Linked DNA regions of Macaca fascicularis. Each later gene encodes a partner of the first gene's protein in a complex. Links are inferred from orthologs where the notes say so. Each region holds a gene or a part of one and is shown on either strand. Other genes may lie near its edges.

Region 1 (4,225 bases):
CGTTGGCCAGGATGGTCTTGATTTCCTGACCTCGTGATCCACCCGCCTCGACCTCCCGAAGTGCTGAGATTACAGGTGTGAGCCACCGCGCTCAGCCAGACATTTTCAACTCTGCATGTCTCAGGTCGGGGTCCAGATCACCCAACCACCGAAGCCTACCCTATCCACAGTGTTCCCCATCTGCCTTCTAGTTCTCTGGGCAAAAACTCTTTGTCAACTTGATTCCTCTTTTTCCCTTGCATCCTACAATAAATCTGTAGGAAGTGGCCATTTCTTACCATGGCCTCAGCCTCTGTCATCTCTGACCTGGAATCTTTCCGGTCTCTCTGCCTCCACCCATGTTCCCTGACAGTCTGTTCTCCACAGAGTGGTCTGAGGGGGCTGTGCTAAAACCTAAATCATAACATGTCACTCTTCAAAGCCCTCCCAGGGGCTGGGTACGGTAGCTCATGCCTGTAATCCTAGCACTTTTGTGGTGCAGAGGTTGCGGTGAGCTGAGATCGCGCCACTGCACTCCACCCTGGCAACAGAGCAAGACTCCGTCTCAAAAAAAAAAAAAAAAAAAAAGAAAAGAAAAGAAAAGAAAATGTCTGTTAGGCATCCAGCTGGTGATGATTCACAAGGCGGGTGGATCACTTGACATCAGGAGTTCGAGACCAGCCTGGCCAACACGGTGAAAACCCATCTCTACTAAAAATACAAACAAAACAAAAACAACAACAAAAAATTAGCCAGGCGTGGTGGTGCACGCCTGTAATCTCAGCTACTTGGTAGGTTCTGGCAGAAGAATCGCTTGAGCTCAGGAGTCGGAGAGTGCAGTGAAGCGAGATCATGCCACTGCACTCCAGCCTGGGCGACAGAGCGAGACTCTGTCTCAAAAAATAAATAAATACAAATTAGAAAATACAAAAATTAGGCTGCGTGTGATGGCTCACGCCTGTAATCCCAGCACTTTGGGAGGCCAAGGGGGGTGGATCGCCTGAGCTCAGGAGTTCCAGACCACCCAGGGCAACATGGTGAAACCCTGTCTCTACTAAAAATACAAAAAAATTAACGAGGTGTGATGGCGCATGCCTCTAGTCCCAGCTACTTAGGAGGATGACGCAGGAGAATCGCTGGAGCCCCAGCAGCGAAGGTTGCAGTGAGCCAAGATTACACCACTGCACTCCAGCTTGGGTTACAGAGTAAGACTCCATCCCCCACCCCAAAAAAAAAAGTAGCTGGGCATGGTGGCGCATGCTTGTAATCCTAGCTACTTGGGAGGCTGAGGCAAGAAGATCACTTGAACCCAGGAGACAGAGATCGTGCTACTACACTCCAATCTGGGTGACAGAGCGAGATTCCATCTCAAACAAACAAAAGAAAATCCTCCCATGCCCCCCCGCCATCTCAGTGTAGAAAGTAAAACCCCGGCCAGGCATGGTGGCTCACGCCCGGCCAGGCACGGTGGCTCACGCCTGTAATGCCAGCACTTTGGAAGGTCGAGGCAGGTGGATCATTCGAGGTCAGGAGTTTGAGACCAGGTTGGCCAACATGGCGAAATCTGGTCTCTACTAAAAATATAAAAGTCAGCTGGGCATGGTGGTTGGTGCCTGTAATCCTAGCAACTCGGGAGGCTGAGGCAGGAGAATTGCTTCAACTCGGGAGGCAGAGGTTGCAGTGAGCTGAGATCGCACCATTGCACTCCAGCCTGAGCAACAGAGCAAGGCTATGTCTCGGGAAAAAAAAAAAAAAAAAAAGATTTTTTTTTTCCTTGGGAACAAAAGGTTTCATTCACTGATGTATCCTATGTGGCTTAAGCAGTGTCTGATACATAAACATTCAATGTAATATTTGGTGCACTAATAAATGAGCAAAATCATGCCAATCACTCGTTATCCCTTTAAGTTGTGAATTAGGTCGAAAACGCATCTGTCTCCAGCTCAAATGATCAGGAGAAGTCCCTTATTTCAAATCATTATTTCTAAAAGTCCTAACTTCCCTTCCCCAGTATTCGTTTTGATTTCTTTTGTTTCGTTTTGAGATGGAGTCTTACTCTTCGCTCAGGCTGGAAGTGTGCAGTGGTGCAATCTCGGCTCACTGCAACCTCCGTCTACCGGGTTCAAGCGATTCTCCGGCCTCAGCCTTCCAAGTAGCTGGAATTACAGGGGCCCGACACTACGTCTGGCTAATTTTTGTATTTTTGGTAGACACGGGGTTTCACCACAATGGCCAGGCTGGTCTCAAACTCCTGACCTCAGGTGATCTGCCCGCCTCGGCCTCCCAAAGTGCTGGGATTTACAAACCTGAGCCACCGCGCCCGGCCTCCCCCAGTATTCGTAAAATCGCTGCCCCTTAACATTCACTTCAATAGGACTAATTATCTAGGACCCCCCTCCGTTATCGTTTAAAATATGTTTTTCATAATTAAAAAAAATTTTTTTTGTAGAGACGGGGGTCTCGCTATGTTGCCTAGAGTAGTCTCGAAACTCCTGTGTTCTAGCGATGCTCCCGCCTTGGCCTACTAAAATGCTGGGATCACAGGCATGAGTCCCCGCGCCCAGCCCAGCGCGTTATCTGATAAAGCTGTCCCCTCTCCCGAAGTCACGATGCGTCAAAGGCCCCACGCCCGTTCTCAAACTCATCAGGAGAAACGCAGGACGCTCCATCCCTAAAACATCTGCCCCTGTCCCCCACCCCGCTCTCTGCTCAACCCTTCCCACCCTCAATCGGTCAAAATTTCCACCCTCAACCTCCTTCCCGCCGCCTAAGCCTAGCCCGGCCTCACATGATGGTCACTAAGCTCTCCGTTCACTCCCGTTTCCTCCGCGTTGCTGCAGCCTGAGGCGAGAGAGGCGGGACTTCCTCTTCCTGCGACCCACTTCCGTTGGCGCCTGCGCAAAGCCAACCAGTAAGTGGAGGCGTGGCCTGTTGCCATAGCATTGCCCACCAACGGTGCACAATGAAAGAATAAAAGCCTCGGATAGGGGTTCGAGGCCAGTCAGAACCACACGGGGCAGATGTTTATGACAATGAAGACAAAAGGAAAGGCGGTCTGATTCAAACCGTTTCGTTTAAGAATGGTACAGGTTTAAGGAGGGAAATGACAAACTATTTCCAAATGCCCGCCGGCCGTGACTTCGGGGGCGCGGCCTCCGCTGAAGCCAATCCGCTCCTCGCTTCGGAGACAGGCACCGCCCCTCTTCCCTCTGGGACGGGTTATTGACGTATCTACTGATCTTTCCGACCCTGCGCCACCAATCCCCTGCCTACATCCGGGAGGGGCATGGACCTGCGCCCGAGAGATTGAATATTTTCCACGATCAAACGCTGCTCATTGGCTTTCCCCCTCCGCTAAGGCGGAGCCTATCTCTTTTGCGCTCCCTTTTGGGTCGTGCCATTCTCAGAAGAACCAACCCCAATACCCAAGGGAGGCCGGGAGGCGTGTCCTCAGGACCGTAGCTCTTATTGGTTTCGCTGCTCGCTGTGGGGTGGGCAGGTGCAGCCGCTGCTGTTGCTTATTGGCCCACTGATTCCATGGGGTGGAACTTGGCTGGGCCTAAACTCAATCGTGGTCTGGTACAGGTTTCAGGGCATAGCTGCCATGCGTTCCGGGGGCCGCGGGCGGCCCCGCCTGCGGCTAGGGGAACGTGGCGTTATGGAGCCACTCTTGCCCCCGAAGCGCCGCCTGCTACCGCGGGTTCGGCTCTTGCCCCTGTTGCTGGCGCTGGCCGTGGGCTCGGCGTTCTACACCATTTGGAGCGGCTGGCACCGCAGGACTGAGGAGCTGCCGCTGGGCCGGGAGCTGCGGGTGAGGCTGGGCGGGGACCCGGGCACCGCGGGGACCCTCATTCCCTCCCCGCTGTTACCCAGGGTTGACTTGGCTTTAGCGTACGGCCCTAACCGCAGATGCCACAGTCTTCGTCATCTGAGCGCATGACCCTTACCAAAGGAATAAGGCTTCGGGCTGGTTTTACAACAGTAGCTTCCTTTTATGAGGAAAGGTCTGAAATAGTAAGACGAGGGGGTTCAGGGTTCTACGCCTTTAGTCAACTATTTGGAAGAGTCCCTTCCTCCATCTCCCCTCTCTCTCACTGGGCCTCGATTTCCCCATCAAGTTTGAGGTAGGCTGGACCGGATGGTCTTGGAAGGACTTTTTCTGAGCCTTGGATTTATCCTAGAAGTCTCCGATGCTGGAGGCCGCAAATTAGAAAGAGGACCCGGGGCTGCTTGTGGGTGACGGCGC
Region 2 (3,982 bases), on another chromosome or scaffold:
GTATTGTATTCTAAGATGGAGTTTCACTCTTGTTGCCCAGGCTGGAGTGCAATGGCGCGATCTCGGCTCACTGCAACCTCCACCTCCCGGGTTCAAGCGATTCTCCTGCCTCAGCCTCCTGAGTAGCTGGGATAACAGGCTCGTGCCACCGCAGCTAATTTCTGTATTTTTAGTAGAGACGGGGTTTCGCCATGTTGACCAGGCTGGTCTCGAATCCTGACTCAGGTGATCCGCCCGCCTCTGCCTCCCAAAGTGCTGGAATTACAGGCGTGAGCCACAGCGCCTGGCCTAAATTCCACACTTTAAACATGTAGTTTGTTGTATGTCAATTATACCTCAATGGAACAGTTCAAACAAGCAAACAAGTTCAAGGCAGGTCCTGAGGTTAGAGCTTTATTAGCTTCATGGTAAATCCGCTCCTACCGGGCATTTGCGTTTTCATGGTACCAAGAACCCTCTTAACAGTAGAATTAGGGCCGTCAAGGGGATGATTTGGGAATGTTGCCTAGTTTTCCTGCGCAGGATTGTCAGCCTCCAAGCCGCGGAGACTGTGGGAAACGACCTCGCGATGGTGGTTTCGAGGCACAAATCTGGGGCCGAATGACAGCTTCTTTTTCTTTTATTTTATTATTTCATTTTGAGACGGAGTTTCGCTCTTGTTGCCTAGGCTGGAGTGCAATGGCGCGATCTTGGCTCACTGCAACCTTCGCCTCCGCCTCCCGGGTTCAAGCGATTCTCCTGCCTCAGCCTCCCAAGTAGCTGGGATTACAGGCATGCGCCACAACGTCTGGCTAATTTTGTATTTTTTAGTAGAGATGTTGTTTCTCCATGTTGGTCATGCTGGTCTTGAACTCCCGACCTCAGGTGATCCACCCGCCTCGGCCTCCCAAAGTGCTGGGATTACAGGCGTGAGCCACCGCGCCCGGCCTGACAACTTTTATCCAGAAAACTGTCGCCAGTAAAGGTTCCTGTGTCAGTAAACTGTAAACGACGGTAGGCCCACAGAAGGTTCTCAGGGGCGGGGAAACCGCTACAGGAACAGCACCGCCCACAAATTTCCTGCAGCGTGATTTGTCCCCAGTGGCGACTCGTAGAGCGTTCGGTGCTCCCTACCAGCCCCTCTCCTGATTGGCCGTGTGCCGCGCGCTCGAGCGTGCCTGGCGCCTGCGCTGGAAGACTCTGCCGATAGTGGCTATGTCCGGCAGGTCTAAGCGGGAGTCTCGCGGTTCCACCCGCGGGAAGCGAGAGTCCGAGTCGCGGGGCAGCTCCGGTCGCGTCAAGCGGGAGCGAGATCGGGAGCGGGAGCCTGAGGCGGCAAGCTCCCGGGGCAGCCCTGTGCGCGTGAAGCGAGAGGTCGAGCCGGCGAGCGTGCGCGAGGCCCAGGCTTCTGTTGTCCCGTTTGTGCGGGTGAAGCGGGAGCGCGAGGTCGATGAGGACTCGGAGCCTGAGCGGGAGGTGCGAGGTGCGCGGGGCCGGGCCGGGCTAGGCGCGAGAGCCTCTTTTTTTCGCGTTCTTTTTTCTTGTCTCTCTAATCTTCCGCCAGGTCCCTGCGCCGCGTTTGGCGGGGGAGGGGTGGGGTTGGCGGGGCAGGGGTGGGGTTTGGGTGGGAGAAGAGGAGGGAACCAGACTCTATGGTTCTGCTGTTCGACTTGTTCTGAAGAAGACAGTATTCATCTCAACCGTATATTATTTATTTTTCTATTTTTCTTTTCTTTTCTTTTTTTTTTTTTTGAGGTGGAGTCTCACTGTGTCACCCAGGATGGAGTGCAGTGGCGCGATCTCGGCTCCTGCAACCTCTGCCTCCCGGGTTCGAACGATTATGCTACCTCAGCCTCCCAAATAGCTGGGATTACAGGCGCCCGACACCACGCCTGGCCAATTTTTTGTATTTTTAGTAGAGAAGGGGTTTCACCGTGTTAGCCAGGATGGTCTTGATCTCCTGACCTCGTGATCCTCCCGCCTCGGCCTCCCAAAGTACTGGGATTACAGGCGTGAGCCACCGTGCCTGGCCAACCGTATGGTATTTCTAACTATAACAGTCATAACAATAGCAGTTTCCCTTCATCGAATGCCTGATGTGGGGGCTCAGTGCTGATTTTACAAGTGTTACTTCCTTCCATTTTAAAAAAGAATTTTTTTTTTTTCTTTTTAAAATAGAAGCAAGTCTTGTTATGTTGCCTAGGCTGGTCTCGAACTCCTGGGCTCAAGTTTTCCACTCGCCTCGGCCTCCCAAAGTGCTGGGATTACAGGCGTGAGCCACTGTGCACGGCTTTCCTTCAGTTTTTACAAAACCTCTAAGGTCTTGTAATTTCTGTAATCAAGATATTCAGAATGCCTGAGCAATAGGCACCTGCTCTAAAATATGAATTATGTAGCGCTTTTTAAGCTGAATAAAGTCTGGAGACAATTCTCCATTAGTCTCTTGAGTTTGTGCACATACTGCGATCATTGCCTGACTGCCTTTGCTCCTAGACTCTCCTTAAGGATGTTCGTGTAGTGGGCAGCCTTGGAAGATAGCAGTGGTGTCTCCCTACAAAACAAGGAGGAGACAAGGGCACAATCCATTATAAAAGATTTGGAGCAGGGTGTGGTGGCTCACACTTGTAATCGCAGCTACTCTATAGGATGAGGTGGAGTTCAAGACTAGGATAGGCAACAGAGTGAGACCTCGTTTAAAAAAATGGTTAATGGTTCAGATTCTCTAAGCTCAGGGTTACTCTCCTGTAAGGCAACTCACTGTGTGCATGGGTTCTCCTCACTTTGCCTTGTAGAAATTCACTTGGGAAACTGATATCAAGGCTATATTCTGGCTACTGTCATTGCTGTAATAAATTGCCCTTCATTTCAGGCCAGGTAGTGACATGCTTTCCATCAGCATTTGTAAAACTGTGACAGGCTAACTTGTTAGCTTGCAAGTAGGGTAAGATCTGAGACCCCCTTAAGTTTTTGACAAGTGGTAGATTTATAGATACACATGTACATTCTTCTTTTTTTTTTTTTTGAGACAGTTTCACTCTTGTTGTCCAGGCTGGAGTGCAATGGCACGATTTCAGCTCACTGCAACCTCCGCCTCCCGGGTTCAAGCGATTCTCCTGTCTCAGCCTCCCAAGCAGCTGGGATTACAGGCGCATGCCACCACACCTGGCTAATTTTTGTATTTTTAGTAGAAACGGAGTTTCATTATATTAGTCAGGCTGGCCTCGAACTCCTGACCTCAGGTGAGCTGCCTGCATCTGCCTCCCAGAGTGCTGGGATTACAGGCATGAGCCACCCACCCCAGCCACTCTTTAAACTATGTAGTACATTGGTGACTGGGCTCGGTGGCTCACACCTGTAATCCCAGCACTTTGGGAGGCTGAGGCAGGTGGATCACGAGGTCAGGAGTTTGAGACCAGCCTGGCCAACATGTTGAAACCCCATCTCTTCTAAAAGCATGAAAATTAGCTGGATGTGGTGGCATGCACCTGTAGTCCCAGCTACTCGGGAGGCTGAGGCAGGAGAATTGCTTGAATCTGGGAGGTGGAGGTTGCCGTGAGCCGAGATCGCGCCATTGCACTCTAGCCTGGGTGACAGAGCGAGACTCTGTCTCAAAAAACAAAACAAAACAAAACAAATACACAACTATATAGTAGTACATTTGTATTACAAGTAGTTTATTTTAGTGCTTGTGACATTTCATATTTTTCATGCTTTATGGGATTTCTTTATGTAAAATGCAAACAGATCTTGTGTTGATTTTATGTATACCAAATGTATTCTCCTAGTTTGTGGCTTGTTCTATTAGTGGACTTTTTTCGTTTCTTTTTTTTTGAGACAGAGTTTTGCTCGTCCCCAGGCTGGAGTGCAGTGGCGTGATCTCGGCCCCCTGCAACCTCCTTCTCCCAGGTTCAAGCGATTCTCCTGCCTCAACCCCCCAAGTAGCTGGGATTACAGGCGCCCACCACCATGCCTGGCTAATTTTTGTATTTTTAGTAGAGATGGG

Evidence for each region.
Region 2: SNRPD2 (region 1) and USP39 share a complex: the UniProt entries of both Homo sapiens proteins name them as parts of the U4/U6-U5 tri-snRNP complex. The link is inferred for Macaca fascicularis from reciprocal best matches to the Homo sapiens genes SNRPD2 and USP39.

What each region holds. Positions count from the first base shown.
Region 1 is NC_088393.1:53,756,344-53,760,568, forward strand, and holds the start of SNRPD2 (small nuclear ribonucleoprotein Sm D2), read right to left. Parts: upstream 2,823-4,225; 5' UTR 2,770-2,822; coding exon 2,768-2,769; exon of another isoform or gene 2,036-2,767; intron 1-2,035. Other genes in the region: QPCTL (glutaminyl-peptide cyclotransferase-like protein), read left to right, coding at 3,584-3,790. UniProt on the Homo sapiens protein: Plays a role in pre-mRNA splicing as a core component of the spliceosomal U1, U2, U4 and U5 small nuclear ribonucleoproteins (snRNPs), the building blocks of the spliceosome.
Region 2 is NC_088387.1:35,970,542-35,974,523, reverse strand, and holds the start of USP39 (ubiquitin carboxyl-terminal hydrolase 39), read left to right. Parts: upstream 1-1,162; 5' UTR 1,163-1,194; coding exon 1,195-1,462; intron 1,463-3,982.